Schizosaccharomyces pombe: one gene and its partner. The protein of the gene in region 2 purifies or fractionates together with the protein of the main gene of each other region. This does not show direct contact. Each region holds a gene or a part of one and is shown on either strand. Other genes may lie near its edges. The genes, in order: dps1 and dlp1.

The links.
Region 1: the proteins of dlp1 (region 2) and dps1 purify together in Schizosaccharomyces pombe (affinity purification with western blotting, with the first as the bait; one study listed by BioGRID). This does not show direct contact.

Annotation. Positions count from the first base shown.
Region 1 is NC_003423.3:678,653-689,637, reverse strand, and holds dps1 (decaprenyl diphosphate synthase subunit Dps1), read right to left. Parts: upstream 5,522-10,985; 5' UTR 5,496-5,521; coding exon 4,521-5,495; exon of another isoform or gene 4,440-4,520; coding exon 4,278-4,439; 3' UTR 3,956-4,277; downstream 1-3,955. Other genes in the region: SPOM_SPBPJ4664.02 (glycoprotein), read right to left, coding at 1-1,922; knk1 (AAA family ATPase), read left to right, coding at 7,012-8,367, 8,416-8,824, 8,872-9,089; AP-1 adaptor complex beta subunit Apl2, read left to right, coding at 10,004-10,985. UniProt on the Schizosaccharomyces pombe protein: Supplies decaprenyl diphosphate, the precursor for the side chain of the isoprenoid quinones ubiquinone-10.
Region 2 is NC_003424.3:4,059,214-4,070,198, reverse strand, and holds dlp1 (decaprenyl diphosphate synthase subunit 2 Dlp1), read right to left. Parts: upstream 1,601-10,985; 5' UTR 1,444-1,600; coding exon 559-1,443; 3' UTR 324-558; downstream 1-323. Other genes in the region: protein Poz1, read left to right, coding at 27-323; ubiquinone biosynthesis protein Coq9, read right to left, coding at 2,013-2,765; protein erh1, read left to right, coding at 3,228-3,256, 3,341-3,362, 3,414-3,471, 3,547-3,576, 3,708-3,812, 3,871-3,941; cpy1 (vacuolar carboxypeptidase Y), read left to right, coding at 5,681-8,689; SPOM_SPAC19G12.09 (NADH/NADPH-dependent indole-3-acetaldehyde reductase AKR3C2), read right to left, coding at 9,093-9,947. UniProt on the Schizosaccharomyces pombe protein: Supplies decaprenyl diphosphate, the precursor for the side chain of the isoprenoid quinones ubiquinone-10.

The DNA of each region.
Region 1 (10,985 bases), on a different chromosome or scaffold from region 2:
ACACTAGAACTAGTAATTGGTGTGGATGTGTTCAAAGCAGTTGAACTAGTAATTGGTGTAGAACTGTTCAGAACACTAGAACTAGTAATTGGTGTGGAACTGTTCAGAACAGTTGAACTAGTAATTGGTGTGGAACTATTCAGAACACTATATCTAGTAATTGGTGTGGATGTGTTCACAACAGTTGAACTAGTAATTGGTGTGGAACTGTTCAGAACACTAGAACTAGTAATTGGTGTGGATGTGTTCACAACAGTTGAACTAGTAATTGGTGTGGAACTATTCAGAACACTAGAACTAGTAATTGATGTGGATGTGTTCAAAGCAGTTGAACTAGTAATTGGTGTGGAACTGTTCAGAACACTAGAACTAGTAATTGGTGTGGATGTGTTCAAAGCAGTTGAACTAGTAATTGGTGTAGAACTATTCACAACAGTTGAACTAGTAATTGGTGTGGATGTGTTCACAACAGTTGAACTAGTAATTGGTGTGGAACTATTGAGAACACTAGAACTAGTAATTGGTGTGGAACTGTTCAGAACACTAGAACTAGTAATTGGTGTGGATGTGTTCAAAGCAGTTGAACTAGTAATTGGTGTAGAACTGTTCAGAACAGTTGAACTAGTAATTGGTGTGGAACTGTTCAGAATACTAGAACTAGTAATTGGTGTGGAACTGTTCAGAACACTAGAACTAGTAATTGGTGTGGATGTGTTAAGAATACTAGAACTAGTAATTGGTGTGGAACTGTTCAGAACACTAGAACTAGTAATTGGTGTAGAACTGTTCACAGCAGTTGGACTAGTAATTTGTGTGGATGTGTTTTCGGGAGTAGTGTTTGCGAACGATATGCTGTTGGTCGTATCGGTTGGCTTTGAGCTTCTGCTGATTATAGTGTTGGCTGCGGGTGTTGATGCATTTGTTATTGTGGTTGTGGATGATGTACTTAGCGCGACGGATGGGCTTTCAACTATGAAAGAGCTTGAGGAGATGGTGCTAGAAATTTGGGGTGAAGTGTTTGATGTTGTCAAGTTGGGTCCGGAGGTTGAGTAGGTATTTTCAGAAGTGGTTTGTTGAGCTGTTGTGGCTGTCTGAAGTGTTGTGATATACGAATAGGCACTTGCAGAACTACTTGTCGACTCTGTACTTTGTTGCGATGCGTCCGTTTTATTCGCAGTGGGATTTTGAGTCGATTCATACGTTATAAAAGATGACTGATCGGAATTGGCAATAGTACTTTCAGAAGAAGCGACACTGCTGCCTTCAGTAGTTGTAGAGCTTTCAGTTTGAGTAATGATACTTGGAGTAGATTGTTCAACTGATGGCGAAGATAAAATTGTTGAAGAAGCAGAAGTATACGCTGTCGCTATTACGGAAGACGAAACGTTGGTATAGGAGAATGAAGCGGTCGCTGCGCGTTTACCTACTTTGACTGTTGATGATATCGTTGGATAGCGATTAAAACCTTTATAATGTGAAGTGTTTATGACATTAGTGGACGGGATTAAACGAATGGTATTAAAGGATAATATGCTCGTACTGTCCGTATTGGAGGGTTCTGGGAAGCCGTTATATCTTATGTCTGTGTATGGAAAAAAAAGAGATGCTTCCCGGTCATTAGCGTGAGCATGGGATAAAGTAGGTAAAAACAATTCATTAGTCCCAGCTGAAACTGAGGTGATATTAATAGTATTAATTTGGTTATTAACGTCCAAAGAGCAATCAACAGGAGAACTCACTGAATGTATTATGCTAGTTGAAGAATATGATTGCGAAAGATTAGCGAAAAAAGATCCAGTATGCGAAATATTACTTTTCAATTTCAGGCTTTCCTCGAAAGTCTGAAAAGGAAGAGCACTTGATATTGGAATTAACAAAAATATACAAAGGGTTATTAAAATCGGTGAAGTTTTTTCGACCATTCTTAGACACCATTAAAGTTGGCACAGATCGGTTGATCCTTTGATTAGGCAAGAAAGTTTGTTTTCAAAATATATTCATGAAACCGATTGGCGACGACGAACAACAAAGAGTAAATACAAACGATCAAATACGTGTAATGGGTGAATGTTCGCTAAGTATAACTCTTTGTATATATCAGATCTCAAGCGAAATCCCTGAGCAATGTGGGAGCTGAAATGAGCTTAGAATTTACCGAAATAAGGAACAGAGAATACCAATGAGTTAATCTGCTCAGAGCAGTGAATATCTAAATATAGAAAATGAATGAAGTTTAAGCTGATTAAAGGTATCACTATGATCCAAGCGACAGAATAAATGGCCAAGTTAAACTGGAGTATTCTACACTCAAAAGCCAACTCTCCCAAAAAAAGAAACGCCAAAAAAAAATAAATCACCCAGGAAAATTATACACTTTTCTATTTAAAAAAACATAGTTTTGAGCCAGCCTCATCATTGATTTCCATTATGTCCCGACGGAACAAGTTGACAATGTATCGCTACAACTACGGCCTAGAAGCCCATGAAGATCTGAAACATCACCGGTAAGAATCGGCTATAACGAAGCATGTAATATGCTTACAGAATATAGGCCGATTATCTTGCAATATCGCATGAGTAAATCAGAAGAGATAAAACATATTGGATAAATGTTGGGAGTAGCAATCATCCATCGAACATATTCCCTTACGACAAAGCGTAGCAATAATTTGATTAAACAAGCTTAAGTGACTCTGGCATCTCACAATAATACCAAAATCCAAAGCGTTTATATGAGAGAGATAAATTTTTAGTTTATGAGCAAGTTTAACTGCTTAAAGCTTAACCCGTTCCAAAAATTTTGGATAGACGATTAAGCGGATGTGGGCTTCTAGAATAAAACATTGACCCTTTACGGATACAGGATTCATTTAAGAAGTTTTTTATCAGCGTGTTTTAAACTTTGTAATTGTATTGCGGATGTTTGAATTTTCGAGATTAGTTATTTATTATGTTTAATATGTTTAATTATGAGCACAAAATTCACATACATGTATATTGAATTAAACTGACATTCAAAAAGGTTTGCTATTAGATGGTTCTGTTAATGGAAAAAATATAATTAGTAGGTAACCACTGACATTGTTACTTGAGCTCTTCTTGAAAGCACTGTACCTACATTAGTATATCAAAGTGTACCAAATTATGGTAAATAAAAAAAATATACATTCGTCCGTACTTTTTACTCTAATGACATTGCATGATGATCAATAAAATCTATTTTTTTAAGGATTTTTTAAACCCATTTAAACTTCATTGTGGTAACAAAGGGCTTTAAACTAGCAACAGGATGCAATTCACGATTATATTATTAATAATAATATTAATTATTTGAACCAAAAACTGGATCTATATATTGTTAAGTATTTCCGATAGTCAATTATTTACTAATTTGAAATTTATTCATTTTCTTGCACTTTTGAGGCATCAGATATATGTTAACATAGTAATTACGATCATCATCTAATAGTCAAATTACTGTTGTTTGACTGAGGTGTACAATGTTCATTAATACATCCAAACTTTTAGCTTTTGCTATGGTTTATTCAAAAAGAAGGTCGTTATATATATTGTTATAGGGGTACTAAACAAAAGGAAACGTTGATACTAACGAAAGTTCATTCGAGCATTGGGGAAAGAAGGAAGGCCCTGTAGTTTTGGTAAGTTTAAAAGCTCAACGCTCAACGTTTATAGGCTATCAAAAAGGTATAGTAAAAGAATACAGGTGAAAATAATTTTGCAGTCCAGGGAAAGCACAGCAAGCTACCGGATAAAATCTGATTCCTAATTTTAGATCTGACAAAAAGTATTACCATAGTTATGCAGCCTTTTTCACCAGATATAAGTAATGGACAAACTTACATGATAGTTGTTATAACGTAAACAGAAAATTGGAGCCAAAATCAGCATCTGACATTTGAGCAGCGAGATCACAAAGACTATAACACTAGTCAAGAATAGTTATTACGAAGTGCTTGGTTTATTTATTGAAGTCCAATTTTTATAGACAGTATCATTAGTGGCTTGCAATGTCGTTATAAAATCATTGCATTCGTTGGCAGTTGTCGTTCACTTTGTAATAACCTGAAATCATTTATGGAAGAAAAACCAATCAAGGCAGCGCATATTAGTAATATTTTCACTGCTCTATTAAGAGCGGTAATTCAACTCGGTCTACCAAAGTCGTATATATAATTAAACCTAATTGTTTTAAATTTTTCGAGAATAAGAAAAAGAGGCCTTTATCTAATAGTTAAAGATGCAGCGTACTAAACTCGTCACTTCTTTCTCGTTATTACTTTATCAGCCAACGCAAAAAGTGCCTTCCTTGCAGGTGAATCAGGGAGACACAGAAGGGAATCTTTGGCTTTTTTGATATATTCTTTTGCCCAAGTGATGGTTTGCTCGATAGCATCAGTGCACTCAACCAAAGAACGAGCCTAAATTATATGTTAGCAATTGAAAATTAACGATAGAGAAAAGGAAATCAAATAAATAAATAAAACTTCAGCTTCTCTTACCCGTTGGATATCAGAAGGATGATTGAATCTATTCACAATCATTGCACCAAGTTCTGGATACTTTTTCCATGCAAAGAGGACGGGAGCTGTAGCCAACCCTAGCTTCAAATCTGCACCAGCCGCCTTTCCTAAAGTATCATCTTTCGACGTATAGTCCAACACGTCATCCATTAGTTGAAAAGCAGTACCAATGCATCGACCGTATTCTCCAGCAGCTGTTGCTACAGTAGGAGAACATTGTCCGAGGATTGTAGAAGCCTTGCAGCTTTTGGAAATTAAACTGGCTGTTTTCAAAAAACTTTTTTCAATATAATAGTCAAAATTTGATTGTTTTATTTCCAAAGATGAAGGATCCATAGTATTTTTTAGCTGCAAAAACTCACCTCGAACCAAGTCTGCTATCACTGTAGCTAACAACTCCGTAACTTGGGGATTTCGAAGGCGGGCCATAGCAGTCGAAGCCCGTGCAAGGATGAAATTACCCGCAAGGATTGACCGTCGATTACCGAAAGCAACATTGCTTGAAGGTGAGCCTCTACGGACATTAGCGTGATCAATCACATCGTCATGCAGCAAACTTGCTATATGGATCATCTCGGTTATTTGTGCTAATCTCAATTGAGAAGGAAGAATTTGACCCGTCGAAAATGATCTTAAATCATCATCATCAATATATTTGTCGCCCACTACGGACCGATCAATACCATGGCACAAGCTTGTAGCTTTGGACATCAGCAAAACAAGAGAAGGACGCATTTGTTTTCCTTGAGCAATGGTATAATATTTAGAACACTCTTCAAGAAATTCTGAATTTGAATTCAGCATTTGACGAATCCCTGGTGAGATTTGTTCCAACTCGTTTTTAATTAAATGTGAAGCATTGCGGTTCGTAGTAGAAAACCGAAGAACAGTCGAACGGACTTTTCCAAGACTCCATAATTTCCTCATATGTTTTAAATATACATACTGAATCATTTCATTTCTTATTTTCAAAAGTAACTAAATGATGAAGTTAGAGTTGGGATGGTTTGTATATCATGGTATTTACCGTGATTTCGCTTAGATATGACGTCGCTTTGATCAGATAAGTTTATTTCAAAGAACGGAAGAATCATTAAATAGTTTGTAAACAAACAAAACATTTTTTAATTATCGTTTTTTCTTCATACCATTCTGATCTTAAGTATTTTTTCTGAAGAATTCTGTTGAGTCAAGCAGGATATTGAGCATCTTCCTCAGAGGCCAAATTCATTATCAAAACTTACAACAGCTTATACATCAAATCAGTTAACAATAAAATTCACAGATCTATTTGCATATGCATCTCTCCCGTGTATCATTTTTTATACGACACAATAATCAAAACAATTTATACTTCCAAATTGCTTCAATATTCGATGGGAGAAGTGCTACTTGGTTGAATACTCAAAAGCAGAATATTTAGATAAGTAAATGAATCTTATACTACAACTAATTTTTTTTTGGCGAAGTTAATATAACAGCTTCAGGGAATCCTCTATATGTGTTGATCTTCCAAGAGTTTCTCATCTTACTTGAACAATTATTGGTTCTAGGAATTTACGAATACATTGTTGATATTTTTTAGGTATTTTAATAGCTTTGTAACACTGCTTTAACAACATAAACATTTCTAAATGGTTTGACATGCGTGAAATTTTAATTGATCAGAAATTGCTTAAAAGCATTTTTACAAGTTTTAGTATTTGTAGGATCATTTAATAAAAATAAATTACGTACTTTTCTAGTCTACAAAACGATTCGCCTGCTAAGATTATTGTCATTGTAGTACAAAACGTTACATTCATATTTGTTTTATCACATTTTGACTTTTGAAGGCTTTTAACGATTAGGCGCCCGACTTTTTTCACCATTCACTTCAAGAATTTAAAAAATAAAAAATTTATCAACATTAAGTGCCATCCCGTTCCTTTCAGACATAGCTGATCTGTTTACATCTCCCGGGCCTCAAGTATTCTTAAAAAAAGCTCTATTTGAGCGTTAAGTTCAACTAGAGAAATTTTTTTTAGAATTTGTAGGTATATCAAAAGATACTTAAATTTTCGCAAATTTGTTCTCATCGAAAACCGCTTGGCTTCTGTTTTTCAGCCAGTCGAAGGCGCTCGATTTTAAAGTGCTCTCTAATCCACACTACTAGCATAGCGATGAAATGATTAATATCGTTAATAATACGTTTTTTGTTGTAAACAAATTTCCGGATTTGCGAATTAGCGGGAAAAAAAAAAGAGTGTGAAAGAAAGATATTTACTCATCTATTGAATCTATGAATAAAATGATTTTCTCCAATACGAATTCCTTATCAAATAGCTTTTGAAGAGATGAAAGAAAACCAGTGGCTGAAAAGTAACAGCGTTACTTCGAACATTCTATGGGATTTTTAACGACAAGACAGCACTTTTGACATTTGAACTTGCCAAAAGCAAAAAAGCCATTGACGAGTCGACTGCGGAAAATGGACTCAGACTTGGATAGAATACTACCGATAGCATCAAGAGCATTATTGTGTGAAGGAAATAGGGATTGGGCTGGTGCGTATGTGAGTTACTGCAAGGTTTTAGAGGAGATGAAGAAGTCGTCGGCAGCTCGCGATCGCATGGGATTGGGACCTTTGACGGGCGCAGAGGCATGTTCTTGGAACGGGCTCTATGACAACTGTTTGAGCAAGGCAAGCAAGCTGCGTAAGACGATTTTGGAAAGTGAAATGGAAAGGCAAAATTATCAACTTGCAGCCAAACTTTCAAAGAAGGCGCCCGTTGATCTTCACCCCTTACGTCCAGTAAGATCTCAAACACCTGCGTATACCCCCATGACTACTAGGATGATGTACAGACAGACGAGAGGTGCGCAGTCGGAGGTAAATTTATCTACGCCTAAGCAAATATATTCCAAGCATTCGCCTCCTTCTACCTCCACTTCATCCATTGTTTCTTCTTCCTATGGAGATGCACCTTCTTATCTGGCACCCTCTAAGCCAAACCGTTCTCCACCCCTCAAACCCGAAGATCCCTTTGCCTCTTTCAATTCTTCTGCTTCGGCCATTGCTGCTGCTTCTAAGAGTGCTGCCGCTTCTGCTTCTGCTCTTTCTTCTGATACAGGTCGTTCTGCTACCATGAATTCCACCACTTTTCCTACCGCTATGAAAAGTCAGTCTACGACTAAACCGACGCTTTCCAATTCGGTATCTAGCCCTTCTATTCAGGTGTCAAACAATCAAAATGCTAACAATAGCACTCCCCTCTCCTTCCATGCGCCAATTCCTCCACTCCATGTTCCTGCCGTCCCCCTTACGTCTGCATCGCATTCATCCAGCGATGGAAAATCGCGCAAGCATCCTAGCCCATATAAACCATACTTAAACTCTTCTCATGATACCCTTGGTTCTTCCACTCGACCGTCTTCCGCTGACACAGCCGGATCACCTGCTACATCTCCTCCGGCAACCGCTGATTCTAAGACAATTGTGTCAAAAACTATCTCAGCTAGTACTACTCAACAAACTGAACCTCTTCAACAGACCACTCCTTCAAGTGATTTTGAATATGCTATTATGAATGAAATTATTTCTAACCATGAACCTGTCTACTGGTCGGACATTGCCGGATTAGATGACGCTAAAAATTCCTTGAAAGAGGCAGTCATTTATCCGTTTTTACGCCCGGAACTTTTCCAAGGATTGCGTGAACCCGTACAAGGCATGCTTCTTTTTGGCCCCCCTGGCACCGGCAAAACCATGCTTGCTCGTGCTGTTGCGACCGAAGCGAAAGCCACATTTTTTTCGATTTCGGCTTCATCATTAACCTCGAAATATGTAAGCAAGTTTTATATTTAACCCCATTCTTAACTAACCTTGATTTAGCTTGGTGATTCTGAAAAGTTGGTTCGAGCCCTTTTTGAAGTTGCGAAGCGCCAGACATGTAGCGTTATCTTTGTTGATGAAATTGATTCCATTCTTTCCGCTCGTAATGACAGCGGTAATGAGCACGAGAGCTCTCGTAGATTAAAAACAGAATTTTTAATTCAATGGTCTTCGTTAACTAATGCGGCTCCGGACAAGCAAACTGGTCACTCTCCCCGTGTTTTGGTGCTGGCAGCTACAAATCTTCCGTGGTGTATTGATGAGGCTGCTCGACGCCGATTCGTTAAAAGAACCTATATTCCGTTACCTGAAAAAGAAACAAGATATAAACATCTTTCTCATTTGCTTCATAATCAAGTACACTGTTTGACGGAGGAGGATCTGGAAGAACTTGTCAATCTTACCGAAGGTATGTATATAAATAATTCGATTGGTTAGTTAACTAACGCCATCTAGGTTATTCAGGCTCTGATATCACTGCTTTAGCCAAAGACGCAGCAATGGGTCCTTTAAGAAACTTGGGTGATGCTCTACTTACCACCAGTGCAGAGATGATACCTCCGATCAGCTTGAATCATTTTAAAGCTAGCCTTCGTACTATTCGTCCAAGTGTCTCACAAGAGGGTATTCATCGTTACGAAGAGTGGAATAAACAATTTGGTTCGCAACGTTAAAACAACTTTGTAGAGTATTCTACCTTTAATATTTTCAAGAAATCATATATTCTTTTGCATCAAAAAGGCAGGGTATCCTTTAATTTATTCAAACTTCCTTTCTCTCTTTTTAATTTTATCCTTTAATGTTTCTTAACGAATCATTTGGGTATCGTTTTTCTGGATATTATGAGAATTACCGTGCATTTAGGGATTGAATCGTGGATGCTGATTTTCATGTGGTTTCAATAACTTTCTTTTGCATAAACTTGGCTTATTACGAATTTTAATTTCTGTTTACCTTCATTTTATTTTCGTCTTTCCTACAACAACTAAAATGTATTCGTGATTTGACTATCGCTATAAACGACATTTTAAATCATAGCCGACTTGACAGCGCCTTTTACAAATGCTCCCCTTTTGTATTTTCCATCAATTCTCTTTATTTTATTTTTTCCATTTATCGTCATATTTATTTCGTTTACATACAGCCTCAACCTATTGGGCTACTTTTTTTCCCTTCACTATTCTCCAATTTTGAACAATAATTATTAGTTATTTAATGTTTGGAAAAGGGTATTGCTTTACTTGAATCGCATTTTTACGGCAATTAACTTATAGCTTTTATTGAAATAACATTTCAACCTCTTGTTTGTATACTGAATTAAATGTTTTAAAATTTATTTAAAGGTCATAATAGTAGCGTTTAAAGCATTGCAGGTTGAAAATGAAATCATGAATATATAGAAATTGGATTTCAGTATTCGATATTGTCACCTTTGTTACTTCTGGGAGTGGGTGTTTCTCACCGAATGGGTTTGACTTGACATGATTATTGAACCACTGCTTTATATATGTAAACGTGTTTTTGACCTTAGGACGTTTACCACCTTTAAAAGAGCTACATAAAGAGCGGAATTATACAATAGTACCGAATGGTTCCAAAGTTGTTTCAATCGAGCCGTTTTAAGGCATTTAAAAAAAGCGAAACAAGTGAATTACAAAAGGGACTAGTTTCTCAGTATGCCTACGAGAGAATTGATGCTGTGAAACGGACTATTGCCGCAATGACTGTTGGCAAGGATGTGTCTAGTCTGTTTCCCGATGTTTTAAAGAACCTAGCTACTCGCGATATCACCTTGAAAAAACTGGTTTATTTATATCTAATTAACTATGCCAAAACACACCCTGATCTTTGTATTTTAGCCGTTAATACTTTTGTAAAGGATTCTGAGGAATATAATCCTACTTTACGAGCTCTGGCAATTAGAACTATGGGTTGCATTCGGGTAAATAAAATCATTGGCTATTTGGCAGATCCGTTGCGAAAAGCTTTGAAGGATGAGCATCCCTATGTTCGTAAGGCTGCAGCGGTTTGTGTTGTAAAGATGTATGACCTTGATCGAGAATACTGTGCATCAAATGGTTTCATCGAACAATTGCAGGCGTTGGTATCTGATCCGAATCCTGTGGTTGTGGCTAATGCAGTCCGCTCACTTGCTGAAATTCATGATCAGGACCCTGAAAAGGGATATTTTAATGTAGTTTACACGATGACAGACAGGCTAATGGTTGCTTTGAGTGAGTGTAATGAGTGGGGTCGGATTACTATTTTGAATTCTTTAGCTAGATTTCGCACTTCTGATATCAAGGAAGCTGAATATGTTTGTGAAAGGGTGGTTCCTCAATTCCAACATGCAAATAGTGGTGTCGTTTTGTCCGCTGTGAAAGTCATAATGGTACATATCCCTCTCTTTTCCAGTGACTTTACAGACTTTCTGTACAAAAAAATGGCTCCTCCTCTTTTGACGCTACTTTCTACGGACTCAGAAATCCAGTATGTAGCCTTACGGAACATTAATTTAATATTACAAAAGAGGCCTTCTATTTTTGATGTCAAAACTCGGGTTTTTTTCT
Region 2 (10,985 bases):
AACAGATGATGTTTGATGTATTCTAGATGGCCTTTCATTTTCTAGAGCAGGAACCAATCGATCATATCAACTTTACTAAATTTCTCCAAGACTGGGGAAGTCATAACGAAAAAGAGATGGAAGCTTTACAACGTTTATCAAAACACAAAATACGAAAGAGGCTAATTTATGTTTCTCAGCATAAGAAAAAAATGCCATGGTCTAAATTCAATAGTGTGCTCAGTCGATACATACAGTGTACAAAGCTACAACTAGAGGTATTCTGCGACTATGATTTCAAACAAAGAGAGATTGTTAAAATGCTTACCTCAAACATTAATTAGTATCGAATAACGATAAGCTCTTTATATTAATAAATTTTTGGTATCTTTAAATTCCTGGAGGGGTCAAAAGTCTAAAACTAATGCTTTTAAATTCAATGACTCAAGCAAAGGATAATGAGGAAAAATATGATTTATATTGAAGCGTTAAAATTCGTAAAAGAAAGACATATTTGTTACGATTGCACGAGCATGCATGAGCCACCCTAATATTAATCCAGGATACAATACCTGTCGATTACTTCGAAACACTATTAGCGATTTCCATGAGAGCTTGCTTAGCCTCTATATCGGGGAAAACAGACAATGAGCTCTTGGCATTCTCAACATATGTTTTCAAAATGTCATTATTCTTTTGCAAAACTTGGGCGTCAGGAGATACAGGCTTATGGGCCAGTTGCAGCGATAAGCCTAGAAATTTTCCATAATTGAAACACGCATCATTAATGTATTGTGATGAGTTATTCAATATGCTTGCGCATAAACATGCCTTTGCTGGCATAAAGGCTGATTGCAGAAGGATGGTTCGTTCGTTTGACAAACCAACAGAGCCATTTTGTCGGCTTCCGAAGTGCCCTTCAACTAAGTTTGCAATAACAGAAGCCATAATTTCTGTAATAGCGTTGTTTTCTAAATGTGCTAAATCAACAGACGCCTTTCCGAGTAAATAATCTCCAACCAACGTTGCAAGTTTAATCTGTTCGTTGCTTTGTTCTTCTCCAATATTAATATGAATTATATTGGCAGCATGAATCAATTCTGTTACACGGGCAAGTTGTTTGTACCTTTGAAATAGTTGCTGACTCGGTGGATCCCCATTTACTGATGCTCTAGACATTAGAAGTACAAGAAGCGGATGAAAAAAACGAGTTGAAGATTTTCTGTATGGCTTCGTAATTTCATCTAATAAAGGATTATTATCTGTCCACGTATTAATTTGACCATTTAAAGAATCCATTTCTTCTGTAAGCATTTTTAATAAGTCAGAATGCCAACGGGAATCTCGTGATAAAACCCCTACAGCTTTTAGCAGAATGGAAGACCAGGAACCAGGTTTTTTTAAAGATAATAGAGAGCTTATTGCAGAAGGCCTTTTCAGCAAACTAGCGAACGGAAAGCTCATCCTTCATACAATAAGTGATGATTTCACACTTGAGTAAAAAGATGACAAAGGCCTTGTAGAGGTATAGTAGGGTATCAGTAATTTACAACGCTAATGAAACGAGAGACAAAAAATAGTGGGATGCTTTGATTGCTACTATGTTTTCATTTTTGGAGTTCTTTAACTACGCCTGTGTCTTGTCAGTTTTAGCTAATTATTTCAAAGTCACAGGTTACCTCAGGAAGAGTCAGAATAGTAAGTTCAAGGTAGTAAAAAAACAGAATATACAAGTAGTAAAGGTAGCATTAGTCAAAGTGTGTGTTTCTATTAAATGTTTTACTGAAGTTAATTTGTTATCAACCCGTGAATATATAAGGATTTTTCTATAGATTTTTTTAAGGTAAACACTGTTCAAATGAAGTTTCGAATCAAAGAGTACATTCAACAATAACTACCGATATATGGAGAAAACAATTAGCCAAAAAAACTTAAATATTGTAGGAAATGAAATTGCATTTATTTCTTGCATAACGTAAAGTTGAATCAAGCTGATTTGTTAAACCAACAAGCAAAAGGAGTAGCAGTGAATTTTAAATTCCCCTTGAACGAAGGATTGATCTCACAGCATTCAGCTGAAAGGAACCCCATTCCAAGACATCGTTGCGTAAGTCATTTAAGGCTTTTGCATGTTGAATGCGATGTTGAACAAAGTTATAAGTCGCCTCAAAATTAGGAGAAGTATCACGACTCATAAATAACTCAGATGCAGAGTAAATGGCAGAGATAGCAGCACGTTTCGTGTACCATTGAAAATCGGCTGACTTATCTTGCGCGAGGTAAAGAATCTCATCTGACAGTTCAGCCAGAGAGGATAATGATTTTCGCAAGTTTGAAGGGTATGTACAAATTGCAATCATCTGCGGAAGATGCTGAACAATATCCCTATTTCCTTGCAGACGAGACCAAATAAGCTGGACAACACGTCCAGATGTTTCGGGGATAGTGGTCAAATGAGGCTTTAATGAACTAAGAGCGTAGCGCTGCTTCAGGAAAAAGTACGAAATCAAATCCATTGGACCAGAAGGAAAGAGGGCCTTGGAGAGATTACTATAGCCAAGGGCCTGACCACCTTGCACGATTGCATCTTCCGTGAACCCCAGTTGAGGAACATGTTCAAGAGCATTTTCTAAAATTAAAGCCTTCTTTCCGGATATCTTAGAGGTTTCGTAATTTTCACTATGATAGCCTCTCCTTCCTAGAGCGGAAATGACCGTTTTGGAGATGCATTTATGAAGTCCCAGGTTTTTTGTTGTCAACTGACAAGCACTTCTTAAAGTCAACATGTAAAGAAATAAAAAAAAGAGTCAGAAAAATAAACAAAATAGAAAGAAAGGGTCTTTCACTAAGCAATTCGAAGGAAAGAGATATGGGTAAAGAGGTGTTACGAGTTATTCAAATCAGCGAGTTAGATAAAGTATATAGTAAGATTGGAAGATGACTTCTAAAAATAATTATAATATTTGAAGTATATTAAATTGTGAGAACTGCAAAGTAAACGAACTGATAGAGTGCGTGACGGATGCTACTGTAGAAGGAAAGCGAAATCGCTACTCAATAACTGTGCTACCCACCTGAAAGTACAAAGAGTCGTTCTGACAATAATTTGTGTGACAATAGCAAATAATTTTCAAACAGATAAATTGAAAATAAAAATAGGGTGATATTAAGCTAGACGGTGTGTTTGAGAGGCGGTCTTAATCCTTGCTCGATAAAAACAGAAGATACTTCAAAATACTTGGCTCGTAATGTCGCCTCCACCAGCAGAATCTCATATGTATGTTCCCCGAATGCCAGAAAAGCTTCAAGACACTTATGTACACTATGCAAGGGCTATTCGCTAACTAGATTTTGCTTACAGCATTTTATTAATACAACAAGGAGTATGTCATTAGATTGTAGGATAATTAAAGATTTCACTAACTCCTAATCAGTCGGATCCAAAAACTCGTATATGGAGCGACCATTGCAGCTTGCGTTCTGCTATTGAGTGTATGAATATTATCTTTCGTCCTCCTTGTAGAGGATGCGCTACTTATTGGAAATCATTTGTTAACGTGATATTAGATATAGTCGGTGTTTACCAAACAAATCAAGGTACGTACGATTTTTGTTTTTCTTTTTTGGTTGGAAATTTCAGTGACGATGAACTATGTTTTCCCAAGTCCCGGATTGAAAACTCAGCTTTACCGTATGAAAACTTGCATTAGACTGACGTTTATGTTTAGCAGTCAGCGAAAAGGAATCTATTGATGTCTCAAGGTTTTTCAACTTTTTCGACGAGATCTATGATTGCGTTCCTTTGGTATACGATCGGCATTTTCGTGCATATAGTAAGCAGTTTCTCTCATTTATCAGTTTGATTTTGATACTAATAAATTCTACTATTAGTTCCCCATGAAAAGCAATGGTTGTTACACCATGCTCAAGAATATCTCACAGCTGCTAGACAGATCCCTTAAAAATATCGAACACCATATTATGCTACTCATTGCTATGCTTTAAATTTCAAAATCAAAGAAAAAATAGAACTAAGTTTTTCTAAATTAAAATCTTTATCAATGCACTAGGAATGGCATTTTAGCAGCTGCTTTTCACCTTTGGAATCAGCAACCAATATTCTAAGAGGTTCAAATTCTATTGTATCATGCATTAGCTATATTCTATCTTTAACAATTATTTTTCTATTCTTTTTTTATAAAATTTAATTGTTCTAATAAATGGCATTTGTCTCTTAACTTTTAAACCCAATTGCAAATTTTTTTTTTACTTGTCATGTTTTTTCCTCGTGCAAGACAAAGGACCAATTCCATCCGTTTTGCCAGCCGCTATTGTATTGTTTTGCCCTTTTTTTTAATTTCCAGTGCTGGGAAACTGTAAAACAAACAGCATAGCCACTTCTAAGCCCTCGTTTGAAGTAGTCAAACCGGAAGAAACAAACTTTTGTACTTGCTAGACACTCGATCTTTGCTGACATTTCTTTATATATATATATTTATTTATAGTTTTTTTTTGTATCGCTTTCATCTTCGCCCTCGCTCCTTCCAGTTTTGCTACACATTATAAGGTATATATATCATGTCGGTATACTTGCCGAGCAACGTTCTCGGGTTATAGAAGAATAGCCCTAGTATAGTGGAGCTAAATCACATAATGTTGTGTATTTTGACCCATTTTTGTCACGGAAACCGCTTGGCCAGTTACTTTTTCAATTCGTACCAGGACGAATTAGTCACAATAAAGCGAATGCATATTCATTGTTTCACAAACTAGCAATACAAGATAATTGTCTAGGCATTATAGATTTGCTACCTTGAGTTTTGTGTACTTTGCTTCTCAATTTTACTCTCCAAAGATAAATATCCATTGCTTCTGCAAAGAGTTAGTCAAGTACTTGATGACTGCAAAACAATTAATAACAAGAGCGTGTTTTTATATTTTATACTGTCTGTTTAAGGTTTAATTGAATCCAATAATTCAACTAAGAATAACTTGATCCACATGTTTACCTTTCTTTTTGTTTAATAAATATTATCAGATGTGATTTTCCTGTTTGCTAACTGCAAGCGAAGCTACTTTTTTCATTATATTTCGTTATTAGCGTATAAAGACATTGTAAAGTATTTGCAGCGATATCTAAGGAGGATTGCGAAGGGGCTTAGAACATGATGATTCATGCGAGGCGTCTGCGTCACGCTTCTGGACTTATGCTTAACCCTTCATATATATAGCGATTGTTGCCTGCCGCTTACTTTTCTCCTTAACCAAGCACACATTAACGCCATCGAACCCTAGAACCAGTAAAGTGATCTGAAGAGGGAAAAGCAGCAAAACGATCGTAAATACGTTTGTTTAAGAATTTGCTACTTTTTGTGGTTTTCTGTCTAGTTATTTATTGCGATATCCACATTGCCTTTAGTGCTTGTAATCACACTGTAAGACGTGAGGCTTCGCAATCGACATTGAGTTAAATACATTCTTTTTCTCATTGTTTATTTTTCTTTTTAATCTATCCATATAGCTCATTTTGCCTAACAGTTATCTGATTTGGCTAATTTGCAATTTCTTTTTTAATCCAGTACATACAGATTTGTATCTATCAATTGATTGTTTGAGAAGTTCGGTCTATTTGGTTAGCTTGTTGTACGAATATTTCATTTCCTTTTGTTTCTCTCCTTTCTATACTGTACATTGAAACAAGATGTTAATGAAACAAACCTTCTTGTACTTTTTGCTCACTTGCGTCGTATCCGCTCAGTTTAACGGTTATGTTCCTCCTGAGCAAAATGGTGGTGATATCGTCGTTCCCAAAGATTTTTACGAGAAATTTGGGGAGGATTTCATCCGTGAGCAAGAGGAAAGCTCTGCTCCTCTTATGAATCCCGTTCCCGAGCGTGATGAAGCTGAGGCTCCTCATCACCCCAAGGGTCATCACGAGTTTAATGATGACTTTGAAGATGATACTGCCTTAGAACACCCTGGATTTAAAGACAAGCTTGACTCTTTCCTTCAGCCTGCTCGTGATTTCCTTCACACCGTTTCTGATCGTCTCGACAATATCTTTGACGATGATGAGGATGAACACGTTCGCGAGAAGCGCCCTCATGACTCAGCTGATGAGGATGCTCCCCGCAGAAAGCACGGTAAATGCAAAGGAAAAGGAAAGCACCATAAGGGTAAACATGCTAAGGGAAAGGGAAAGAAGTCTCACCCTAAACCCGAGGATGACTCTGTTTTCTTTGATGACGAGCGTCCCAAGCATCATGAATTTGACGATGAGGATCGAGAGTTCCCTGCTCATCACGAGCCTGGTGAGCACATGCCTCCTCCTCCTATGCACCACAAGCCCGGTGAGCACATGCCTCCTCCTCCTATGCACCACGAACCTGGAGAGCACATGCCTCCTCCTCCTATGCACCACGAACCTGGAGAGCACATGCCTCCTCCTCCTATGCACCACGAACCTGGAGAGCACATGCCTCCTCCTCCTATGCACCACGAACCTGGAGAGCACATGCCTCCTCCTCCTATGCATCACGAGCCTGGAGAGCACATGCCTCCTCCTCCTATGCACCACGAACCTGGAGAGCACATGCCTCCTCCTCCTATGCACCACGAACCTGGAGAGCACATGCCTCCTCCTCCTATGCATCACGAGCCTGGAGAGCACATGCCTCCTCCTCCTATGCATCACGAGCCTGGAGAGCACATGCCTCCTCCTCCTTTCAAACACCATGAGCTTGAGGAGCATGAAGGTCCTGAGCATCATCGTGGACCTGAGGACAAGGAACACCATAAGGGACCCAAGGATAAGGAGCACCATAAGGGACCTAAGGATAAGGAGCACCATAAGGGACCTAAGGATAAGGAGCACCATAAGGGACCTAAGGATAAGGAGCACCACAAGGGACCTAAGGACAAGGAGCACCACAAGGGACCTAAGGACAAGGAGCACCATCAAGGACCTAAGGAGAAGCACAACGAACGTCCTGAGCAAAACATGCAAAGTTCTCATGAGCTTTTGGTCATTGAGGCTTTCGCTGACCTCATCAATTCTGTTCCTGTTGAAGAAATTGCCGAAGAGTTTTCTCGCTTTTTAGACACTCTTGGTATTGAATACTATGGTAACATTCCTGTACATATTCAAGAAAATGCCCCAAAGGATTCATCAATTCCCCCCCTATTTGAATTCGACGATGATTTGGAGTTGAGTGATCTCACTCCTGAACAATTTGCCTACCTTGAAATGCTCAAGGCTGAAGGTATTGATCCTATGACTGCTTTCCGTGACCAGAGTCATCCTGCTAAGCCATCTAATGCTCAACCTGCTGATTCTTCACGTCCCTACGCTGTTTTTTCACAAGAAGAGAATGGTGAACATGTAAATTTAAAGGCTTTCCCTGATCACACTCTTCGCGTTAAAGATTCCAAACCTGAATCACTTGGTATTGACACTGTTAAGCAATACACCGGTTACTTAGATGTCGAAGATGACAGACATCTTTTCTTCTGGTTCTTTGAATCTAGAAATGATCCCGAGAATGATCCCGTCGTGTTGTGGTTGAACGGTGGTCCTGGTTGCTCTTCCCTTACTGGTTTGTTCATGGAATTAGGTCCTTCTTCAATCAACATTGAGACTCTTAAACCCGAATATAACCCTCACAGTTGGAACTCCAATGCTTCAGTTATCTTTTTGGATCAACCTATCAACACGGGTTTCAGCAACGGAGATGACTCGGTTCTTGACACTGTTACGGCTGGTAAGGATGTTTATGCATTCTTGAACCTTTTCTTTGCCAAGTTCCCTCAGTACGCTCATTTGGACTTTCACATTGCTGGTGAATCCTATGCTGGCCATTACATCCCCCAGTTTGCCAAGGAAATTATGGAGCATAACCAAGGTGCTAACTTCTTTGTTGCCAGCGGCTATGAAATGGAGAAGCAATACATCAATTTGAAGAGTGTCTTGATTGGAAATGGTTTGACTGATCCTTTGGTCCAATACTACTTTTACGGAAAAATGGCTTGCGAGAGCCCTTACGGTCCTATTATGTCCCAAGAGGAATGTGATCGCATTACTGGTGCCTATGATACCTGCGCTAAGCTAATCACTGGCTGTTACCAGACTGGCTTTACTCCTGTTTGCATTGGTGCCTCTTTGTATTGCAATAACGCTATGATTGGACCATTTACTAAGACTGGACTCAACATTTATGATATTCGTGAAGAATGCCGTGACCAAGAGCACTTATGCTACCCCGAAACCGGTGCAATTGAGAGTTACTTGAACCAAGAATTTGTTCAAGAAGCTTTGGGAGTTGAATACGATTACAAGGGATGCAATACTGAAGTAAACATTGGTTTCCTTTTCAAGGGTGACTGGATGCGTAAGACTTTCCGTGACGATGTCACCGCAATCTTAGAAGCTGGCCTACCCGTTCTTATCTATGCCGGTGATGCTGACTACATTTGCAATTACATGGGCAATGAAGCTTGGACCGACGCACTTGAGTGGGCTGGTCAACGTGAGTTTTATGAGGCCGAATTGAAGCCTTGGAGTCCTAATGGAAAGGAAGCTGGTCGTGGTAAGTCTTTCAAAAACTTTGGTTATCTTCGCCTCTACGAAGCTGGACACATGGTTCCTTTCAACCAACCCGAAGCTAGTTTAGAAATGTTGAACAGCTGGATAGATGGTTCTCTTTTTGCTTAAAGTGTCATCAGTTGGACATTTTACATCTACTGAATAGTTGATATGAACCGAATATGACTGACTATTGGCTAATATACAGTAGCCATAATTAATCTTTGCGTTTTATTAATTAAATTGATTTTAATATTTGAAAGATATAATGATGAATTACATAAATATTTGTTTTTGTAGTAGTAGTAAGTAACGCTGTTGGAAAACTTTTCACTGTAAGTATTTCTTCAATTCTCGCGGTTTGTGTCGTAATAGTAACAACATAGTTATAATTCCCGACCAATATTACTACGCCGATAATTACTGCATACAAAAATTTTTGGTTTAAGATGTAAACAGTCGATTGTAATTGAAATAGATTGTCCATAACTAAGTGCTTCGTAATAAAAATTATCTTGATCACATAAAAGTATTACTCATCCATGTGCTTCATAAATGTACGCTTGTGATGTTGAACACCTAAGGTACCAAGTTCGTCAATGTCAGCCTTGTCTAGAGTGAAAGAATCAAAATTCAAGCACTCCTTCATACGCTCAATTTTTGAGGTAGTAGTGATAGGTATAACGCCTTTAGAATAGGCCCACTTGAGAAGAATTTGAGTATCAGAAACATGGTACTTGCTCTCCAATGATTTAGTGAATTCAGCAACAGGACCTTGCGCATCACGAACCAAGGGAGAAAGAGGGCCATAACCCTCAACGATAATTCCTTTACTCTGGCAAAATTCTACAAGAGGCTTCGCGGCCTTGTATACTTGAGGGTGAAATTCGATTTGGTTGACACGAGGAGTAATAGTTGAAGTTTTCAACAGCTCCTCTAAGTCGGGAATACGAAAGTTAGAAACACCAACTGAGTGGACAAGACCGGTTCCCAAAGCCGTTTCCATTGCTTTCCAACCTTCAGAAATGGGTATTTTCTTTTCATAGAAAGGAATAGGACTATGCAAAAGGTACAGGTCCAAATAGTCAGTACCAAGCTTACGTAAAGATTCGTTGAGGGCTTCAGGAATGTTATCGACATTATGCATAACCTTGGAAGTAATAAAGAGTTTGCTTCTTGGAACATTAGCTTCCTTCAAAGCCACCCCAACTTCCTCTTCGTTGCCATATACTTCCGCGCAGTCGATATGAATGAAACCAGCAGCAAGTGCATTCTTTACCGAATCTACAATGGTTCGATTGATTTCTCCCTTTTCTTTCTTAAACAAAGCTGTACCAACCCCATAAGCAGGGACGGGAATCTTAGGGCCCATAGCAGCGATAAGCATGTTGAAAATGTTAAGAGTACGAAAGAACTTGAAAGTAGAAAAAGAGTAAGCTACAAAGAGGCGCTACTTTAAAAGTTGCAGGATAAAAATTGTTAAATAGAAATGAATGGAATAAACGTTAAACCGAGATTTTTGCAAGCAAAAGAAAAGAGAATCGCAGCAAGAATTAATAAATTTCTTCTTTAAAAATGCTCTGTTTAGGTGAAAAGAGTGCGAGAAAGGGCCGTATATCGCTATTTATATAGATTTCCAAAAACTTAGTCAGATGACATCAGCCAAGTCTGGCTTGGCATACAGAATATCTGACTGACGTTGTGCAGCATCTAAGAGAGGAGTCTTTGGAACTTTAAAATGAAGAATTATCTGATCAGATAAGGAACAAACGTGTAACCAAAAGCAGATTTGTTCCAACTAAACAGTGTAAGTTGAATAGAAAACAGTTTTACAGGCAAGAATAAGTTGAACGTTAGATTCGGTATTTAATTGATTTAGCAATATTCAATTCTTGAATGAATCCCTCTGTTTTAGCTGCGAGGATTATCTTCACCACCAGATGAGTTGGCGGTTTTTACAGCATATTCTTACCTATAATGTTAATAAATGTAAGGTAGTTACCATTAAGCTGTAGCGTTATAATAGCAATGCTTTAATCATAAACAATGCTTACTCAGTTTTGCTAGATCATTTTTTACTATAGTCTTTATCGGCAAGAAATTGAGGAAACTCCTTCAAGGCATGATGATCGTAATCATTTAAGAAGTCTTTGACATGTATTATGCATCTAAATGTCAGAGGTTGAGAAAAAAACAAATAAACAAATCTGAAAGTGTCAGGAAAATGACTTGGCAATAATTCAAGCTTATTCATGTTAACCAACGTCAATAGTAATGGTTAATAACTCGACGTCCGCTTAACAAACACTAGGGTAAATTTACCTGCAACTTGTAATTGAGGAATTCTAAACGCATTCCCCACAAGCTAGTTTCTGTTAACAAATATTTTTATAGATTTTGTCTAAAATCTATTTTCTGGTTAAAT